Oryzias latipes: one gene and its partners. The protein of the gene in region 5 purifies or fractionates together with the protein of the main gene of each other region. This does not show direct contact. Links are inferred from orthologs where the notes say so. Each region holds a gene or a part of one and is shown on either strand. Other genes may lie near its edges.

Region 1 (4,166 bases), on a different chromosome or scaffold from region 5:
TTTTTAATATTTAAAGTTTTTTAAATATCCATCATAAGAGGCAGTTGCTATTAGATGTATAGAAGAGATGTAAGTACTGTCATCTGAGTAGGTTTCGTTGCTGTTGAATATTGGTATCGAAGGACAACCAAAAATTGGTGAGGACAACCAAATATTACTTGCCAGGTTGTCCAGAGGACAACCATTTTTTCCCCTTTATTTCTAACGCTGAATTATAAGTAAGGAAATACCAAGTGAAGAATAAAAACTTTTTTTTCAAAAGCAGCAGATGTTAAGGAGTTCCCTGTGAGGAATAGTGTAAGTGACACCAGTTACTACGGTAGTTAGCATTATGGTGAGTTCATCCTAAATTCCCTCAGCATGTCTTCATGTTCTGCCTCCTCCCAGACAAAGGAAATGGGTGGAACAATCAGCAGCTGGATCCGCTCTGAGACACGCTAATGTCTAGCATTTTAAAGGTATGGAGAAAAGCGGCATTCCTGATCAGCCAACTGGTGAGTTCAGCATTGGCGGATGCTACTGAAGCAGTAGGTTTGTGAGCGTCGTCCTCATTGTTGTCTCAAGCGTTATTTTGTTTCCCACTCATCTGTACTGCACAGATAATTGAAACCATCACCCCTTCTCTTTATCATGTCCCTGCCTATATCTGAAGCACCTCCTTCAAAGCTCTTCTGGAGCTGGTCTTTGAAAAGCTAAAAGCGTTCATTTCAATTGAACCTGCTTTACCTAAACTTAACCATAAATATTTGATGACACATCTGCACCTTTCCAATCATTAATGAATTCTGCCATAATTGGCCTATGCATGTATGGATTGCATTTACCTACTGCTTTTTCAAAGACCAGTCTAGAACCGGGCTGCCCAACCCTAATCTTCCAGATCCCCTACCATGTCCTTTTTCCCCATCTTTCCCAGCAAAGATTACCTGGATTAGATGTGTTCAGTCAAACATACTGAGGAAACGTCAGAGTCATCAAAGCCATGGTGGAATATTTCCACCCACACAACTCGGCTAGCTCAGAAGGTGTTGGCTGAACTGAGCAAGAAGAACTTGAACTTTTTCCTGGTTTTGACTCTGAGCATGAGAGTGAGGGTTACCATGAACAGCACACTGAGCGTTTAAAATGTTGCCCGTTTCTCATTCTACATTTGAAAGTGTGGTGGTGGTAAAACAATAACAGGGAATCTCTAACATGTTCGCCTTCCACAGTCATTTTATAGCTCATTAAAGAAAGTTTTAGTCTAGATTTTTGTGGGTCAGCAGAACGGTCTAAATTTAAAATTTGGTAATATTTGAACCCGCTGATGATTCTGTGCTGTTACTTCTGGTCAGTTTGAGTCCGTTCATTTAAGTCTTTTCATCAAAGTGTTGCAGTCTAGACCGATATACAAGATGGTTTGTTGTTCCAGATTTAATATAATGACTCTTTAAAATGCAATTAATGTAAATAAATCAATAAAAAGACAATAACAAGGCTATAGGCCTACATACTCAATCGCAAATTTACCGTTACCGCGTTATCAAGCTGTGCAATATGCATATCGCAAAATACGGCAAAAATCGCAATAAATGGTTACTTTAAATGTGCTAAAACAATTTTATGGCAGCTTGAAGTATTTAGCGAATTAAATAAACCCATTTATGCATTTGACCAATCGGATGAAGCCCTTTTATTATGTTAGATGCTCTCCTCCCATGTAGACTATTTCATTTGGGGTATAATTTAAGATATGTTGACTCTTATTTAAATTAAACTGCAGTGACATAGAAATTATGTTTTTGGTTGTTTTGCTATTTGTTTATATATAGCAAGTAAGATCGTCATCGCAATATTGATCCCTAATATCCTCATATTGTGCAGCCTTACAAGGCTATATAAACTTACAAGTATGGCACGAGGAAATCTGGTCAGACAACATTTTTCCATGTGTGTTAAAGGTTTACCCTCATTTACAGAATGCCATTACCTAAGTGGAAAATTCTTGGAGCAGATAAATTCTTCTGCTGCCGGTTTAAGTGGTAACAAGTCTTGCTGTGCTGACATATGAGGACTAAAGTGTGGCTTCAGTTGTTTCATGACTTTCACTTAAATGTTTAATTATCAAACTCTCCTATAAACACACTCAAATAAAAATAACGTTAATCTAAATAGTCTAAAATGAATACGGCAGTAAAAATATATGGTATTTGAGCTATACAGCGCAATGCTAAACACATCGTAGGATTAGCCTCGTCTGAAATCTGGCACCCTGACAATTCTAATCTAATCTCACAAACATTTGAAAACACCAGGAATGCCTTTTATTTTTAATGAGACAGTTCAGAACCTCATCAAATGTTCAAAAAGTACACATGCCTTTCAAATAACCTTGTTCATTTAACAACTTTTCCTCAAACACACCAAAGACTAGTATGCCCATCGTGTTGAAAGGGGGTAAAAACAAAAAGATTAGCAGATTGACTCATTACAATTCGAAAAGGTTCAGACTGAGGATTTTCTGCAGGTAAAACTTCAACCCCAGCTATACACTTCCTTCAGTTCTGATAAACCAGCTCTACTCTGCAATAATGGAGTCTGTTGTAAAGGCGTACAAGGAGGATCTGCAGTAAACGGCAGCATCAATGAGGGTAAAGATATTCTACAGCCAAAGGAAAATGTGATGCATGTACAGGCACACCAAATGCCCTTACCTTTGCAAAGAGGCACTACAATCCTCTTTTACAACCATCAGTCCCTTTCTCAAAAGGCCTCCCTCAGACTGGACAGCAACCAGCAGCAAACCACCAGAAGCACCAAAGGACACGGATGAAAGCAGGACTGTGGAGACCGGTCAGGCGCACGGCTCCACAGCATCAGTCACCGTCCTGTACATGTCCATTACATAAGAGGCCTGATGACACCCAACACAGGCTCAGGGAGGGTGAGATTAAAGAACAAGGAGAAAGGAGCCAGGAGGGGGTACAGCGGGCAGCGGTAAGAGCAACAGAAAAGAAGGAAGAGGAGGGAGGGAGCCACTGTTTGACAGGAAGTCAACAAACAGGCAGCACCAAGGCTAAAGAAAGTGGACACACAGAGGGAAACATGCATGCACAATCAAAAAACAACAAAGCTGCAAGGACAACCCGGGTATTTGACTCCTTGGCCAAAGATTGAACTCAAAGCTTTCATGCTAAGCAGTTCCTCAGCAGAACAGAACTGCAGGTAAATCTCAGAAGATACATTTAATGGACAGGATATCCTGTTACCCCTCTAAGGCCTGCATCCCATTCAAATCTAAAGGACCCTGTTGAAAACCATTGTTTCCTTGATTAGAATTAGACAAGTCGGTTCTTATTACCCTTAAAGCACATTTCACTGTCCCTCAATAAGTAAAAGTTTTCCCATCTAGAGAAACTAAAAAACTAGTCCTTTCTCATGTTTACAGTTTAAAACGGGTATTTAAAGTTTACGATTTTTAGCAAAGTGTGAAAAAATACAGTTGCCGTTTACCCATAGATACCAAAATTTAAATATTTACAAACATGTAAATTACTGCCGATTAGATTCTGCTTTAATCTTTTAGACACAATGACCATGAACACACTTTAAAAACGCGTTCAAGCGACCATATTTTTCTATCCACTATGTTTCCGGTTCTGTTCCACCATAAAGACACGCCCCGTCACCTCCTCTTTTGTTGTTTTGACGCACCCCAAAAAGAATTACCTGCAGCCCCGCAAACAGTTTTTAAAGAAGAAACCTGGCGTAATCATCAGGCAGAGTGAACAGCTGTTACTGAGCAGAGCGGTAACACGAGGCGTCAGAAAACACTGCTCAGCAGTAAAAACAAATCCTGCTAGGGTCATAAATCCCCCAAGGTGTGAAAAACAAAACATCTTTGTGCAAAAAAGTAAAAAAAAAAAAAAAACTCTGGACATTGTCAACCTCACCACCTCCACAACACAAAACCTACTTCATGGCAGCAGAAATGAATCATGTGATTTGACTTTCTAAGTGGGCTGTTTTGGTTCACCAGCCTTTCACAGGTTACCAAGCGTCAAAACTTGGACTGGATTGATCGGACTGCCAGACGATAAAAAAGTACAGATGTATGGAATTAAAAAAAAAGTCCTTGAGTTGGGTTAGCTTCTTTGGGTTTCCCTCACTAGTTTGTTTACCACTAC
Region 2 (4,139 bases), on a different chromosome or scaffold from region 5:
TTCCTCCCCAGTTCCCTTTCAGACATTCTGGATCCGTTAGCTTAAAACGACAACTGTCAAATATAGGGCTCATGCGGCGTTTAGGTTCTGTGGGAAATCCGAGCTTTCTGACGATTGTCTTTTTAAAATGTCACTTAAATGTGACAAATATTGTTACAACCAAACTAATGGAAATTATGAAAGTTGCGTGAAAAGGTGATTTGATAGGTTTTTAATAGCCTAAAAGCGTTTGCGCTGTACTTTTTCCGATCTCGCGATAGGTTTTTAGTAAGTTGACTCGATGCTGCCGCCCTGCGTTCGAAGAAGGGACAACACCTCAAATGCCTTGGAAAAACACTTCTTTTATTATTATCGTTTGATTTTGTTTTACACCAAACCATGAAGTTAAACTGAATTCCTGAGATGAAAACAGAACGTTTTTCATTCATACAAAAAAATTAAAAAACACCTACTGCACAAAATGCAACAGCACAAACCAAACTTCTGTTCATTCAAACAAACAGGTAAATATAATCAGAATAAACTGCTTGTTTTCCCCAAAGGTCCTCTCTGTTGTGAAACAGAGCGGTGCTTGGCTTTAATAGGAGGCAGTAGAGATTGTGTGAACATCAGGGGTCCAAAAAAACTATGACGATTAAATATATATCTTTGGCAAAAAAATACTTTAAATCTACTTTGACAGCACGTGTTAGAATCTAATAAATACACCTCAAAGAACAGCTAATTGAATGCCGTCCACAGTAACACTTTAATTATTATCTTAGCTGCAGACAAGATGATAGATCTTTTTTTTGTATTAAAGATGCCGTATGACTTTCTATAAATAAATCCATTTGAGGGAATAAATTCACACGCAGAGCTCGATGGAGCTCATGAAGTCGGTTCTGCTGCTTCAGGCTGGTGGGGTTCTTCTTTTTTTGACATTTTGATGCTTTCTTTGCTGATGACCAAAAGGTCCTGAAGCTCCTTGTTCTCAATCTGAAAGAGAGAAAAAAACCAAGAGACTGAATACTTTCCTCCCAACGGACTCCATCTACTACTTTTCTTCTTCACTAAAACAAAAGATTTAAATGTGTACATGTGATAAGATTTACACGTCTTTCACAATTAAAATGTTGTACTGCCTATATTGTTTGTTGTTCTAGATAAAAGAAGAGTATGAAATAAAGACAAATGCCTACATTCTCTGTATTAAAGTATTTTACATAGAACATTTGAAAAAAACCAAAGTCTTGTTAAAAACGCCAACCTGGGACTGAGTTGCCTAAACACAGCAGTTTTCATCATTCTTAGTTTTTTTAATGTATATAAAATGATTTTATAGGAAAAAAGAACATTTATGCAATAAAGCTGCAAGAATCAAACAAATATGTGATCTTTAGAATGTTTTACTGGACAGCTTCCTGTTTTTTAGAAAAAGACATTTCGTTCAAAACCTTCAGGCTACAACTTTATCTCTGGAAGTTTTTAAGAGAAAAAAAAAGGTTTCTGTAAGTTTTAAGTGACGCAGTGAAGTCAGATCTGGAGGTGAAATGGATGGATGGACCAAAACAAAAGGAGTTCCTTCTCAGATCTTTGGTTCTTGTGACAAACGTCTGCTGTTGTGAAGGTTTTCGTGGGCCCTCCTCCGTCCCCTCTGCTGCTTTTAATACTGCTTTAGGGGGAAGAAATGACCTCTGACCTCTTGGGGAAAGAGGCTCGATCGTCGGTACTCACCTCCAGCTGAGCCAGCCTCTCTCGAACGGAGCAGTAGTGCTGATCGTCCACCTGAACGGCTCTTCTCATCACCTGACCCATCTCGCATATCTGCTCCACCTTGTTCTGCACTTCCTGTAGAGACAAGTAAAAACGCCACGAGTTTTCTCCCAAAGCCGGCCCTCAAAGAGACGATGTCACGCTGCACAAAGATGGTGTGAAAGACGCTGTACTTTGGCGTAATCCTGGTGGAGGCTCAGAACCGGTTTGGTGTCCAGCTCCTTCTTTGCCATCATCAGCTGCAGCATCTGCTTGCGGTACCGACCCATGATGAGTTCCAGAGCGTACTGGTGTTCTTCAAGAGACAGCCATAATTCTGAGGAGAAAGTCCACCCAGAGGGTTAGAACAAACACGACCCACCGTGGAAACCGCCCGAACAGAATCCTACCTTTGTTCTCCTGCTGCAGATCCTTGATTTGAGTGTTTTCTTGGGTCAGAAGAACATGAGGTTTGTACTTTGTGAGCTCCCGTAGTTCTGCATTGTCTTCCAAGTGCTGTCAAACAAAATGTACTAACATGTTATTTACTAGCAAAAGTTATCCATTAAAAAATCCCACTGGTATTTTCAGCAGCTATGGCCGCCCAGCACCTGAACGTCTCATCCGCCGAGTCTTTACCTTCTCCGGAAGGGCATTTCCCACCTCCTTCATGTCCTGCACTCTGCGGCTGAGGGCCCCGGACTGCTCGATCAGACCCTCGGCGGCCGTGTCGTGCTCCTTCAGCCTCTCGAGGAGGGTCCGAGCGTCGCCCAACACTTTCTCCAAAGTGCAGGCCATTTACTGGAAAGCGTCAGGTCCGCGGGGCGACGCGATCGAGCCCCTGCTTCACGAGCGCGGTTCCAGCGAAACTCCCTCCAACTAAGTTGGCTCGAGCTCGGCGCGTAACCGCGGCGCTTCCGAGCACAAGCCTTGCGGGAACTTTCCCGCCTAACGCCTGCACTGTTTTCACACGGTATGGAGAAAACGGTCAAAACAGCAAACAAACGCTTTAAAAGTACCCCCACCTATCCGTCAAGCAGACGATACACTGCGATCAATGATGACGTCACTTCCGCGTTTTCCCCGCCCCCTCTTATGATGCATTCAAAGACAATAATGATAAGGAAAAATAATGATTATCAATGAAAACGAATTAATCTACAACAAAACGTACTAATTTCTTTGCAATCAGAATCGAATAAAGTATATGAAGAAAAAGCAGGAGAAGCCTTTGTTAGATCCAGAAGAAAATGGTTAGAACAAGGTGAAAAATGTACTAAATACTTTTTCAACTGAGAACAAAGAGATTTTGAAATTTCCTGTCTGCGTCAAATTAAAATTGGTAATTCAATAAGTGAAGATACAAAAAAGGTTTCTCAATATGTTGCAAAATTCTATCAGGAAACTTACACTAAAATTTGCTTTAGAGAAGAAGATATTGAACTATTTATCAACAATATTAAAGAAAAGATTGGAAAAGTAATTGAAACCTTTGAAAAGTCTTGTGACCAGAAAATTAAAACAGAGGAAGTTGAAAATTGTAGTAAATCTCTTAAAGATAATAAAAGTCCAGCAAATGAAGGACTAACAAGTGAGTTTTATAAATGTTTTATTGCCAAATTAACCTCTTTTCTAGCTAATTTATTTGAAGAAGTGTTAGAAATTGGTATATTGCCCCCAACTCTCAGACAAGGCATCATCAAACTCATCCCCAAACCACAAAAAGATAAATTATGCATAGAAAACTGGAGACCAATTAGTCTGTTAAACAATGATGCTAAAATATTTGCTCTCATTTTTACCAAAAGATTAAAACCAGGACTGGATAACATTATTGAAGAAGAATGATCTGCTTTCATGCCTGGTAGAAATATTGCCAACAATATCAGATTAATACTAGATATCTTCTTCCTCTTTCGGCTTCTCCCATCAGGGGTCGCCACAGCGAACGCGTGGTAAACAGGGCGTGGTAAATTTGGCAACGTTTTTATGCCGGATGCCCTTCCTGACGCAACCTTCTCAAACTGGGCTTAGGACCGGCACAGAGGTAGAGAAGGGAGCAGGGAGCAGCCTGGAGTCGAACCCTGGTTTCACGGACAGAAGGCGCCGCAAACACGAGCTAAACCGGCTCCCAGATTAATAGTAGAAATGATTGATTATAATGAACATATTAGAGATGATGGTTTTATCTTATTTGTTGACTTTTACGAGGCATTTGACATAATTAGTCACAGTTTTATGACTCCAGTTATAAAAGAATTTGGATTTGGTAAAAGATTTTTAAAAGTGATGGAGGGTCTGTACAATGGATGCAACAGCTCCATTAAAGTTGCACATGGCACAACTCCTAGATTTGACACAAACAGAGGAATATGGCAGGGATGTCCTCTTAGCCCTTTCCTCTT
Region 3 (4,267 bases), on a different chromosome or scaffold from region 5:
CTTAATCCTTTTAATATAAAATTCTTGTTTTTAAAAGATGAAAATGATTTTAACCACAAGGGGAATCAACTTTAAGCTTGGGTCAAGGTTTTTCACATTGATTCTGACCTGAAACTTGTTTTTCTGCTATGAAATCACTTCCAAACGAACCTAATTCTCTGTTCGTAAAGTGAAGCATTCCCTCTGGATTTTAGTCGTTTTCCTGTTTGAAGGCAGAGATTTTTTTTTCTTTGGTCTCAAACATTTAGATGATAAAATGAATAAATTGAGATGAGTCGGGGTTCCTACCTTTCCTGTTTTAAAGCATATTCTAACATCTTGATTCTTCGAACCAGATCGTTCTTTAGGTTCTCCTGGCCCTTCCTCTCCCCCTGCAGGAACGCTATCCGGGCCTGGAAAGACGCAGAACAGAAACAAATGTTTCAAAACTCTTATGTACACAAAAATATTGTGTCAAGAAAACAACCGAGTCACTTCCAGAGAAACCAAATCCTCCTGGATCTTCTCTTTATGATAGGTTTCTGAAAGATATGGGAGTCACTCTTTAAAGATTGTTTACATGGTTGTTGAGTTGAGTGAGGTCATGTGACACCTACATGAATCAGACACTGGAAAGGAGGTTCGGTGAGCAGCTCAGCCTAAATGTATGGCGATGACAAACCAGACAGAGTTCCTGTGAGTCATCGGGAGCTTCTCAACACCCCTGACCAAAACAGCACATGTGGGCTGCAGTTATTCAACCACGTCACCTCATTAAAACGCCACTGTCGTTGTGTCAGTACAGCTATTTAAGACCGACGACGTCACACTGTCAGAGTTTTGCTCTGAATTCATGTCCAGAGGAGCAAAACGTGGCTCTGGAAGCTGGAAGATACAATACAATTGATTTTTTTTTTACATTTATTTTTGGCTTTTTGAGGTTGCTGTGTAAACATCTAGTGCCATCTAGTGGCAACATTGCAGAAGAACAAAAAGACTTAAAACATGAGGAGGAAAAATTTAATAAAATCTAAAAAATGAAAGAATTCGACAGTTTCTAATAAAAAAAGAATGATTTAAAAACACATTTATTATGTAAAATATTGTGTACATCAATAACAGCGCAGACATAATGCCATAACAGGAAAAAAAAGCATATTTTGGTTAAAACTAACTCCTTTTTCCTCGTTATTATAAACCCACCAGTGTCTCCTTCTGCTTCGTGAGTTAAATTTTAAGGGAATTTAAATATCAAATCTCCAAAAGGGAGATCCATGCAGTTTGATGTGAGAGCCTGACGTTGGTTCAGGGTCACCTACTTCTATAAATATCTGATTGGACCATCCTTTGGGTTGTGACATCACAGACCAGGATCAGAGCAGAATCCTCCGGCCTCTTCATCATCCTCATCCTGGAGACTCACAATACGTTCAATGGCTCTGAGGAGTAACCTTATTGTTCAATGGTGATGAAATGATATCACTACCAACACTCTCATTTTGTTTTTAGCCTTTATTAAAGCGTCCCCCCCCCCCCCCCCCCGACAGAAACATCTCCACAGCTGAGATGATGCCAGATATTCCTTCTAAAAACCCAAAAGGGTCTGCTTCTGTCACACAAACTGAGATGTAGAAGCAGCAGATCTGCTGCTGGACACGGCAAAGCCAACACACACCTGGAGCTCCATGAAGAACATGGAGCAGCTCCAGATCCCGCTTCTCTCATCGGGAAGTCATGTTTGTTTACAGGCTGTTTCCAAGGAGAAATCCACAGACTTCAAATGGAAAATGTACAGGAATTCATGTAAATAAATAAAAAAACTGACAGCAAATAAAGACCTAGAATGCAGGAGATCTTCCAGAGGGAGGTGTGACCTGAAAGATGCTTCGCAGCCAACCAGAGAACCAGAAAAAGCCACTTTTCTATGTATAGGTTGATTAAAAAAAACCTCCAGAATCACGGATTTGAATCGGTAAGGTCATTCGTTTAGGGTCGTCTGACTGTCACGAACAACATCTGACCAACATCTGGTCCAAATGTCAAAACAGCACGATTAACGTATCCACGGCGGCTGCAGGCTCCCGATATCTCAGTTGAGCCACGGGCTCCAAAGCTAACGGCCAACGCACTCAGACTCCCGGCTGGATAACAGACCTCCACGCCGGTTACTCGTCCCCCTTGACATGTCAGTGGGGCTCCGGTCGCTACCTTAAATTCACGTTAATACGTATACCGATAAAAGGTTATTTGAGATCCCCGGTGACTGTGGAAAAAAAGAAGCTAACCATGCTAATGCTAAGCAGCTAACCCATAGCGACGGACTAACCTGGAGTTCGGCCCGCTCCACCTCCCAGTGCGCCCTCTCCATTTCGAACCGGGCCCACTCGTGCTGGATGTAGTGTAGAATTCCCGGGATAGTGTACTGCTGCTGTGGCCGGGCTAACTCGTCCGTCTGCTGGGGCACCATGACCGTTCCGATGGGAGGTCCGGAGTTGCTCCCGTGCTGCTGCAGCGGCGGCGGCCGCGGGGAGGCCGCTCCTCCCCCGCCTGGGTGTTCGTCCATATTTCGGGTTTTGTTAGAACGTGCGGCGCCGTTTGTACTTAATGATTAGCTAACCGATTTTAAATATTAAAGAAGGAAAAAAAAAGGCGCCGAAGGCCTCGCGCGTCTCCGCCGGGGTACTTGTCGCGCTGGCACCGCCGCCGTGGAAGAGGCCGGCTGCCCCTGAGCGCTTAGCGGAGAGCGGCGACTTGGAGGCGGTGTTTACGTGTGAGTCTCACCGGCCGCCATCACTGCTGTCCGCCTGGATGTGACGGCTGCGAGGGGGAATCCTGCCGCGCTGCATGCCGGGAAATCCAGACACACATTTAGACCCCAAACCTAAAAATAAAATTACGGAGCCCGTGTCCTGACATTAAGATATAAAAATATATCTTGTTCCCACAGATTAATATCTTGTTCCCACAGGTTATTATGTCGTTCGCACGAAATACTATTCCGTTCCCACAAGATACTTTTCCGTTCCCACAAGATACTATTGCGTTCCCTCAAAATACTATTCCGTTCCCTCGAAATGATTAACTTGTGCGAACGCAATAATTATGTCGTTCGAACGCAATAATTAATCCGTTCGAACGCAATAATTATTCACGTCATAAGTCATTCACGCGGATATGCTCTCTGTACGCCGGCAAAAGCCGCTTTCAGCGGTAACTTCCGTGTCTCTGTGACCCATATTCGTTCAAAAAAGGAACATGAAAAACAAAAATGATCACTTTATTACCGTCTCAATGAATATAAGAAAAATATCAAAAGATTTATGATAACTAGGCTGCTTTGTCAAACGATAGCTCCTGCTAGGCTAGCTCCGCCGCAGAGCTCTCTGTCTGATCATGTATGCCGGCATTTGGGCAACTGGCTGGTCTGTTGTCAGACAGCTGATATTGTAGTTTAGGGTCGAATAGGAATAATAATATTCAGGACTTGTCTTTTATTAACTTTAGCAGTCAGTATTTTTACATTCGAAGGCTATTAGGCTACATGCTAACTGACTAGCCGATCATTTCCTGTTATTAATTTACGTCATAGATTTACAGCAGATACCTTCACATTTCTGTCTGTGTGTGTCTCATTACATTGCATTGAAGACACGGAGGATGTTTAGAGAACAGATTTATTTATTTTATTTATAAAAGCACAGAAGCATCCATCGTTTTCACGTTCACATCTGGTACGCCCTCAGTCATCTTGCTGCAAAAGCCGCTTCCTGCCGCTACTTCCGTGTCTCTGTGAGCATTCAATAGGGGTAAAAATAAAAGCAAGAATGGTCGATCTGTTATTTTCTCGATGAAAATCTGAAAAATATCATATTAAGCTGGATGCTTCGCCTAAAGCACTTACCTTTAGCTTGTAGCATAACAACAATAGCAGTACGTCCCGTTTCCCAGAGTGCTTTGCTGCAAATCACTGGCCAATCATTGGTCTTGTTGTTAGACCTTGGTCACAGGGACACGGTGATTGGCTAGTGATTGGCAGCAAAGCACTCTGGGAAACGGGACGTACTGCTATTGTTGTTATGCTACAAGCTAAAGGTAAGTGCTTTAGGCGAAGCATCCAGCTTAATATGATATTTTTCAGATTTTCATCGAGAAAATAACAGATCGACCATTCTTGCTTTTATTTTTACCCCTATTGAATGCTCACAGAGACACGGAAGTAGCGGCAGGAAGCGGCTTTTGCAGCAAGATGACTGAGGGCGTACCAGATGTGAACGTGAAAACGATGGAT
Region 4 (3,975 bases), on a different chromosome or scaffold from region 5:
AATGGTTTCATTCTCCATTTTCTTGATCTTTTTCATGAGCTTGTTAACCTGGAACTCTTGCTCTTGCTCAAGGTGCTGCTCCAACTCTGCCTTCTCATGCTGGAGCTATGGAGGAAAAAGAAACAAGGGCAAAGAAATGAAAAGACGTGAGTGAAACAGACTAAACCAAGGACAGAAAAGACTAGCCAAGCAGACAGGGAGACATTTCATAGTTAGTCATGCTAAAACCATTTAAACCAGTTGTCAGATCACAGAATTTGGTTTTAATTTTCAAAATACTTTCAAAATGATGGAGAGAGAAAAAAAAAACATCCATTTGGACTAAAACATAGCAGTTTTTTGGAAGCTCAGTAAGGGTGTGGCAGAATGTAATTCAAAATAGGGCCTCTCTACAATGGATTATGCAAGTGATTAGTCATAATGCAGACGGCCATTTGAACTTGTGTAGGGAAAAGCTGCAGAGAAAATGTGGAAATGACAATTTTCATAATCCAACTAAGGGAAATGACAAAAAATATTTCAAATTTGTTTAATTGAACCCTTTATTTTGACAGAAACAAAACAAACGGTGGTCTTAGTCACAGCCTCAATGATAATTTAGATCAAATGACTCCCACCTCTCTATCCTTTCGTAACAAAACATGTACAGTTTCTCCTGCAGCTCCAGAAAAGGAACTGATAGATTTGTTGACTTCTAAAAAGACTCCAGCACACCATCTTTATTATAAGGTAGCATATTCAATTGGCTGAACAACAAATGTTTAACTACCACTTTTAAATATGTGACAAAGATTTTAAAGCTGTCTCTATTATTAGTTTAGTCAGAGAAATGTAAGCTCTATTAAATAAACTTTAAGAAACTCGCCGTTTTTAAGAGGCAACTAAAGGTAACAGTGTTGTATTTGAAATGTTTTACCACAATCAGTTGAACCCACTGATGATTCAGTAATAATACAGCATTTTCAACAGAGGAAAACCATTATTGTCACATCACATCACAATAACTGGCCAATAATTTGGGTTCATATCATTGAAAAGTTGTCAAGTGGCACCAAGTCAAACAAATAAAATCATTATAGAGGTTAGACAAGGAAGTAAGTCGTTTTGTTCCTACTGCCAAATTTTCCCACTCGTGTATTTAAACATGTGAAACGAGGTGAGAGACTAAGGTTGAAGAGGATTTCCTATTTGGCATTTTTATTTTACACAACTCTGTTTTTTCTCCATAAAAAAAACAGTAGTAAATTAATAAAGATCAAATAAATCGGTTCTTGAATCTATTAAGCCATTAAAATTCTCACAAACAAACTCACTTGCATGAGTTTCCTTGACAGCTCATTGGTGAGAAATTCTTCCTCCTTCTCATAGTTGACTGCTAAGGTCTCCTTCTCCTTTTGGAGGGCCTGGATCTTCTTGAACAAAGTGTTGCTGATAAACTCTTCCTCCTGTTCCGCTCTTGCTTGCTGTGGGGAGGAAAGATATATAGGATCAGGAATTAAAGAAAGGACCTGGCGGACATGGCAAAGCAAAGCGGTTTTTATCTTGATTAAAACGTAAAAACGATCCCAGGAGAAATTGACAGATATACACCACTCACTCAGTCTGCTGCAGTGAAGTCTGCAAGCCAAATAGGGAGCTTAATTTGACCAGATGACTCAATAGATATTGCAGTATAAGCTGACTTGCAGCGCAGGAAGGAGTGACACATTAGGGCTGCAATGTGTAGGGCTTGGGGGAGCAGCTAGCATTTCAGTGTGATGATACGTTTGCCCTTGCCAGTCTCATTATTCATCCCCAATTCCTCTCATTCAAGGTTAACAAGAACTGACAACTTGAGATGTTTTTGAGGAAAATCTATTAATAAACAAGAATTCAAAATAGTTGGTGACAATTCAGCTACAAGAAAGTGAACAGTTTGAAGGTTTAATTTCCTCACACTCACAAACTTAGTTATTTGGCAGTCTGTTGAGCTCGTTAAGTTTGGTCTACATACTCTTCATCCATCCAACAGATCTGTTACACATTTATATGAAGCTGTGGCTCAGTGGCCAAGCATGCAGACACATGACGACGCGACAATTCATGCACATTTTTTGTAGCTGATTTATTAATTTTCATTCAGACACCTTTAATCTTCTTGCTAATGTATCAACGACGTTATCAAAGAGAAACCCTCCCAATCCAAATGACAAAAAGTAAATATTTTAAATTGTGTACCGATGAGTCCACGTTTAGTTTGGCATCGTTTTGATACAGTTTTGCTAACGTTAGCCAAAATTAGCTAAAGGAAAAAAACAAAGCAGCTTTGCTGGCTAATTTAGCAACAATGTTACAGTTAAAAAACAGCTAAACAGAGAAAAACATAAATTCAATTGCATTCAAATTAGAATTATTATATTGTTGTGATTTATTGGCAAATTACACAAAAACGAGCATTCCTTACTTGCTGACAAATGAACTGTACTTATAGCGTGGGATAGCATATAGCAGTTAGCTTGCTAACGTTACTCACAATGGTGACGCTAGCTTTGCGAAGGTCTCGGTTCTCCTCCTGCAGGGCTTTGCACTTCAGTTTAAACGTCTCCAGCTCAATTTTAAGAACTTTGTTCTCCTGCTGTAACGATGCAAGACGATTTGTCAGCTCTTCCAGACGAAACTGTGAAATGACTATGCTCGGTTTTGCAGAACTGGAGGCAGAGGATGACATCGGAGTGGCTGAACTGCTCCCCGCACCGTCAGTGTCGCTCTCGCTCGCGCTGTCCGCCATGGCTGTGCGACAGTGTGTGAAGCAGGGGAGGATGGACGACAGCAGTTGCAGATACTATGGCAAGCCAAAAGGGCCAAAATTTACAAGGAAGTATACCATTTACTGAGGTCCCTGACTGTTTATGACTGAAAAATATAAACAAAGATAGTAAACCCATATTTAAATTTTATTTTATATATAACCTGAAATCTTATTCCTTCCAACATACCTCGTCAGAGGTCGCCACAGTGAATCAGCTTTCACTGAGTCGCACATTTGGTTTGGCCGTGCTTTTTGCGCCCCCTTGTGGCTGCAGTGTTGATCAGGAGCATGAAAGGCCTTGCTTCCAAACTGGATCGAGCTCATCCCACCCCCTGGGAAACAAACCCTTGTTTCCTATGCACCACGCATACACACAGCCCACTGAGCCATCCAGCTGCTGTTTAACTTAATATTATGACATTTTTTATACTATAACATTATTGTATAAGTCTGTAAATGACAAATATTTAATACAAATATTAACCATTTAATTGTTAGCTATTCATAATATTCATAGTTTTTAAATGATAATACCATCTTACTTGTTTACATTTACTTGTTTTCATTTTATTACATTTTCTTTTCATGGTTACAAACTGCTATGGTAACGCAGAAATTTCCCACATGTGGGATCAATAAAATAATTCTAATTCTGATTCTGATAATTCCAGGCCGTTATTAACACTCATTAGAAAATGTTTTTGCTGTAGTCCTATTTGTTGGGTGCAGTGGAGAAGCTTGAACATTGTAACCCTTGTGCTATCTTAGATGACCCCACCCTTAATTTGACGTGTTCACCAGTGAGGTTCACAAATCATTGAAGAAAAAAGGTTCAGTGGACTGTCTAGTCGGTCTAGATGACCCAACTTCCAACGTTAAAGTGCCTAGGATAGCACAAAGGTTACGTGGGGAGGGAGGAAGAAGGGAAAAGACTTTAGAAGAGTGGGAAATGGGAACAGCAGAGTGGAAGGCCATTACAAATGAAACAATCAAAAATACACGTCAAACAGTTTTAATATTGTTAATAATATTCAAACAGCAGTTCTTTTACCTGAGATACCATTTATAATGCTCAAAGAAGCATGTATTGATGGTTTCTTAATCTTTGTCAATACTGATGCTAATGTTGACTCAGAAATTATGTCAGACGTGGGAGGGAAAGTTTTTTACAGGGGAGGCAGCTGCCC
Region 5 (4,199 bases):
TGATGCTACCATGCTATGATACTAAATGCTACCATGCTATATGCTACCATGCTATGATACTAAATGCTACCATGCTATGATACTAAATGCTACCATGCTATAATGCTAAATGCTACCATGCTATAATGCTAAATGCTACCATGCTATGATACTAAATGCTACCATGGTATGATGCTAAATGCTACCATGCTATGATACTAAATGCTACCATGCTATGATACTAAATGCTACCATGCTATGATACTAAATGCTACCATGCTATGATACTAAATGCTACCATGCTATGATACTAAATGCTACCATGCTATGATACTAAATGCTACCATGCTATATGCTACCATGCTATGATACTAAATGCTACCATGCTATGATGCTAAATGCTACCATGCTATGATACTAAATGCTACCATGTTATGATACTAAATGCTACCATGCTATGATGCTAAATGCTACCATGCTATGATACTAAATGCTACCATGCTAAATGCTACCATGCTATGACGCTAAATGTTACCGTGCTATGACACTAAATGCTACCGTGCTATGATAATAAATGCTACCATGCTAAATGCTACCATGCTATGATGCTAAATGCTACCATGCTACATGCTACCCTGCAATGATGCTAAATGCTACCATGCTATGCTAACGAGCTGTTCCGTGTGTCATCTACATGTGATCACGGTTTAGTCAGACTTTGTTTTCACGTAGCGGATTTTAATACATGACGGATAAATGCAACATGACTTGATGATGACGGTCTCCTCAGGTGCGATGCCCGGTGACCGTGTGCGGCGACGTTCACGGTCAGTTCCATGACCTGATGGAGCTCTTTAAGATCGGAGGGAAGTCTCCAGACACCAACTACCTGTTCATGGGAGACTACGTGGACAGGGGCTACTACTCTGTGGAGACGGTCACGCTGCTCGTCACGTTAAAGGTAACCCTCGTTAGCAGACCTTCCTGCTGAGAGTGGGAGCGCCTGAGGAGGTGGGACTGCATCTGATTGTTGTCAGCAGTCTTCTGTGGTCACACCTGCACAACTGTCAGGTTTCTGCCAAATGGTAATATGGGAGGCCGTACCTGCAGTTGGAAGAGGTGTGTTTGTGTGGCAGAGCGGCAGCGGCAGTGTTGTGTGTTCCTTTCTGTGTGTTTCTATGTTTCCGTGTGTGTTTGTGTTTCTGTGTTCGTTTCAAGGTTTCCGTGTTTCTATGTGTCCGTGTGTGTCTGTGTGTTTGTGTTTTCTCTGCGAGTTGGCGGCTGTTTTAAGAAGAAATGTTCTTAAAGGTTACCTGTTTTTAATCTTAATGGTTGTCCGTTTTGGACCGCAGACACTTCTCCTGAATAAGGAAATTAATCTTGAAGTCGGTCTTTTCAGTGGCTGTAACTCCGCCCACCTCCTCAAAGTTTGCTGTAAAGGCGGAGTCAGAGGTCCCGCCTCTGCGTGCAGCTTTGTGGTTGTCGTTGGAGGACTTTAGTCTCGTTAACCAGATCGCAGAGGTCTTTCCTCGGTTTCTCCGGAGGTGTGCGATGTGTGATGCTGTGGAACCTGCTGGCAGCTGGCAGTGTTCATGTGAGGTTTCATGCGCAGGTTCGATTCCCAGAGAGGATCACTATACTGCGAGGGAACCACGAGTCCCGTCAGATCACACAGGTCTACGGATTCTATGACGAGTGTCTGCGGAAATACGGCAACGCCAACGTCTGGAAGTACTTCACAGACCTGTTTGACTACCTGCCGCTCACTGCGCTGGTGGACGGGCAGGTGAGAGCCGCTACACCCAGACCGTCAGGCCATGGAAGCAGGAGCTCTACAGACACTGTCCTTTGCTGTCCTTTCAGATTTTCTGTCTCCACGGCGGCCTGTCTCCCTCCATAGACACTCTGGACCACATACGAGCTCTGGACCGCCTGCAGGAGGTCCCGCATGAGGTACACGCTCCTCACTGGACGTCCCGCTCAAGTGTTTTGGGCCTTACGTCATTCCAATCCTTTGATTTGGAGTTTGTGCCGATACAGAGTCCTGATCCAAAACTTTTGTGAAGTACTTTAAAAAAAAACAAAAAAAAAAACAAATTAATGAACAGATCCATTTTTTCTTTTATTCTCCTCCTTTTATCATTCAACACTTCTACGATTAAGTAAATCCTGCAGCTATCTAGTACGAATAGTTAACTATAAACTAGTCAAAACTGCTGATAATCATGGCAGAAAGTTTGGGGACTGAAGCTTTAGTATCCTCAGAATTGTTGAACATTTTTAATCGGAACAGGAAAAAATCTCAGCGCCGTTTTCAATCCTGATGGTTTTTCTCTTAAAATCCTTTCGTAGGTCGTTGTTTACGTGACACTTGCCGTCAGTTGAAAACATTTTATTAAGAGTCATTGACCCGGAACTCGAAGCTGTGAAAAATTGTGGTGATTCGTTGATGAAATGCAGACTTCTAGTAGAGTATTTATCTGGAATAATAAGCTTGAAATGATGGTATAATCGGGTTAGGGTTATGTCCGATCGGGAGACACGTCTGATTTCAATCCAGTCTGCAACCGATCGATCAACTCCGGTTTGCGATCACGTGGTCGGAGCGGGACAGCCCCGACAGCAGCGTCCTCCTCTGCTGCAGAGCAGAAGGTAAGAGCTGCACAGGTTGGTGTTAATCTGACTCCCCCCACCCCCCAGGGCCCCATGTGCGACCTGCTGTGGTCTGACCCGGATGACCGCGGTGGGTGGGGCATCTCTCCCAGAGGTGCTGGCTACACTTTTGGACAGGACATTTCTGAAACCTTCAACCACGCCAACGGCCTAACTCTGGTGTCCCGCGCCCATCAGCTGGTCATGGAGGTGAGACTCCTCATACACACACACACACCCCCGGCTGTTAGGATGGATGGGCCGTTTGTGATCATGCACCCCCACCCCTCTGTCTGCAGGGCTACAACTGGGGTCACGACAAGAACGTGGTGACCATCTTCAGCGCCCCCAACTACTGCTATCGCTGCGGCAACCAGGCAGCCATCATGGAACTGGACGACACCCTGAAGTACTCTTTGTAAGTCCCACCCCCCCGGGTGTCTCTGGATGGAACATTCCTAGAGAGTCCAATCATCATTTCATCCAACGTGTCTCTGAATCGCACCTTTACTTTCATCCTCTCTCTACAGCCTGCAGTTTGACCCCGCCCCCCGCCGCGGCGAGCCTCATGTGACTAGACGCACTCCTGACTACTTCCTGTGAATGTCCTATTGTCCCCCATAAGTCATTCACCAAGCCCCGCCCCTGCCCCACCCCTCTCATTTTGAATGGAGAAGATGCATTGAGCAGATTCAACAGAGCGGTGATGTCACTAAAGCTGAGCTTCAGCCGCATGTTAACCTTCATCTTCTCCATCTGACATGTTTGAAAACAGGAGAATAAAAAAGTACCGACGTGGACCAAATGTGCCATATTTTGATCCTTTTCCAACAACTGTTTTTGTTTTTTAGAGCTCACTATATCCCCGCCCGTCTCCACCTTCATCCATCTGTGCTTTCTTTCTGTTGCCAGATCAGTTTAAAGGAAACGTAGGAGAGTTTGCTTCAGTAGAACAGCTCTGAGTTTCAGCTGTTAAGGCTGCAGCCAGCAGTCATCTCTACTATATTACTGTAATTTCAATGAAGACAACAGACATGTGAAATAAAATGTCCTATTGACAAACCGCTGCTGTCCGTCTGCTCTGTGCCAAACAAACTGACAAACCTGGATGACATCACAGGGGTTCACTGACACCTGGATGACATCACAGGGGTTCACTGACACCTGGATGACATCACAGGGGTTCACTGACACCTGGATGACATCACAGGGGTTCACTGACACCTGGATGACATCACAGGGATTCACTGACACCTGGATGACATCACAGGGATTCACTGACACCTGGATGACATCACAGGGATTCACTAGCTGAATTTACATGGACAAAAGTAATCGGAAAGAACGCCTGATCGGAAGAAAAATGCGTCATGTAAACACGCCGTTCGTAATACTCTGACTTGTTCGGATCAAAATTTCTTTCCGATCGAGATAGGTGGGTTATGCCGATTGTGGATTCGATCGTTGTTCATGTAAACAGTTCATTCCGATCGTGTGTCACTACTGCTCTGGTTTGACGTCATACATAGATGGTGTTTTGCTCCATAGAAGCTTTGGACCGACCTGCT

The links.
Region 1: the proteins of ppp2cb (region 5) and serine/threonine-protein phosphatase 2A 56 kDa regulatory subunit epsilon isoform purify together in Homo sapiens (affinity purification with mass spectrometry; 5 studies listed by BioGRID and IntAct, counting the BioPlex papers as one, with this or other methods). This does not show direct contact. The link is inferred for Oryzias latipes from reciprocal best matches to the Homo sapiens genes PPP2CB and PPP2R5E.
Region 2: the proteins of ppp2cb (region 5) and sike1 purify together in Homo sapiens (affinity purification with mass spectrometry; 3 studies listed by BioGRID and IntAct, counting the BioPlex papers as one, with this or other methods). This does not show direct contact. The link is inferred for Oryzias latipes from reciprocal best matches to the Homo sapiens genes PPP2CB and SIKE1.
Region 3: the proteins of ppp2cb (region 5) and strn3 purify together in Homo sapiens (affinity purification with mass spectrometry; 5 studies listed by BioGRID and IntAct, counting the BioPlex papers as one, with this or other methods). This does not show direct contact. The link is inferred for Oryzias latipes from reciprocal best matches to the Homo sapiens genes PPP2CB and STRN3.
Region 4: the proteins of ppp2cb (region 5) and ccdc6 purify together in Homo sapiens (affinity purification with mass spectrometry; 3 studies listed by BioGRID and IntAct, counting the BioPlex papers as one, with this or other methods). This does not show direct contact. The link is inferred for Oryzias latipes from reciprocal best matches to the Homo sapiens genes PPP2CB and CCDC6.

What each region holds. Positions count from the first base shown.
Region 1 is NC_019880.2:23,561,725-23,565,890, forward strand, and holds the start of serine/threonine-protein phosphatase 2A 56 kDa regulatory subunit epsilon isoform, read right to left. Parts: upstream 2,804-4,166; 5' UTR 2,732-2,803; coding exon 2,694-2,731; intron 1-2,693. UniProt on the Homo sapiens protein: The B regulatory subunit might modulate substrate selectivity and catalytic activity, and might also direct the localization of the catalytic enzyme to a particular subcellular compartment.
Region 2 is NC_019865.2:1,582,244-1,586,382, reverse strand, and holds the start of sike1 (suppressor of IKBKE 1), read right to left. Parts: upstream 2,804-4,139; 5' UTR 2,533-2,803; coding exon 2,374-2,532; intron 2,251-2,373; coding exon 2,145-2,250; intron 2,072-2,144; coding exon 1,929-2,071; intron 1,831-1,928; coding exon 1,717-1,830; intron 979-1,716; coding exon 871-978; 3' UTR 1-870.
Region 3 is NC_019880.2:2,602,534-2,606,800, forward strand, and holds the start of strn3 (striatin-3), read right to left. Parts: upstream 2,804-4,267; 5' UTR 2,543-2,803; coding exon 2,306-2,542; intron 393-2,305; coding exon 289-392; intron 1-288. UniProt on the Homo sapiens protein: Calmodulin-binding scaffolding protein which is the center of the striatin-interacting phosphatase and kinase (STRIPAK) complexes.
Region 4 is NC_019873.2:18,424,306-18,428,280, forward strand, and holds the start of ccdc6 (coiled-coil domain-containing protein 6), read right to left. Parts: upstream 2,804-3,975; 5' UTR 2,768-2,803; coding exon 2,513-2,767; intron 1,464-2,512; coding exon 1,314-1,463; intron 106-1,313; coding exon 1-105.
Region 5 is NC_019867.2:193,800-197,998, forward strand, and holds the end of ppp2cb (serine/threonine-protein phosphatase 2A catalytic subunit beta isoform), read left to right. Parts: intron 1-769; coding exon 770-940; intron 941-1,591; coding exon 1,592-1,765; intron 1,766-1,842; coding exon 1,843-1,932; intron 1,933-2,679; coding exon 2,680-2,841; intron 2,842-2,930; coding exon 2,931-3,049; intron 3,050-3,161; coding exon 3,162-3,234; 3' UTR 3,235-3,694; downstream 3,695-4,199.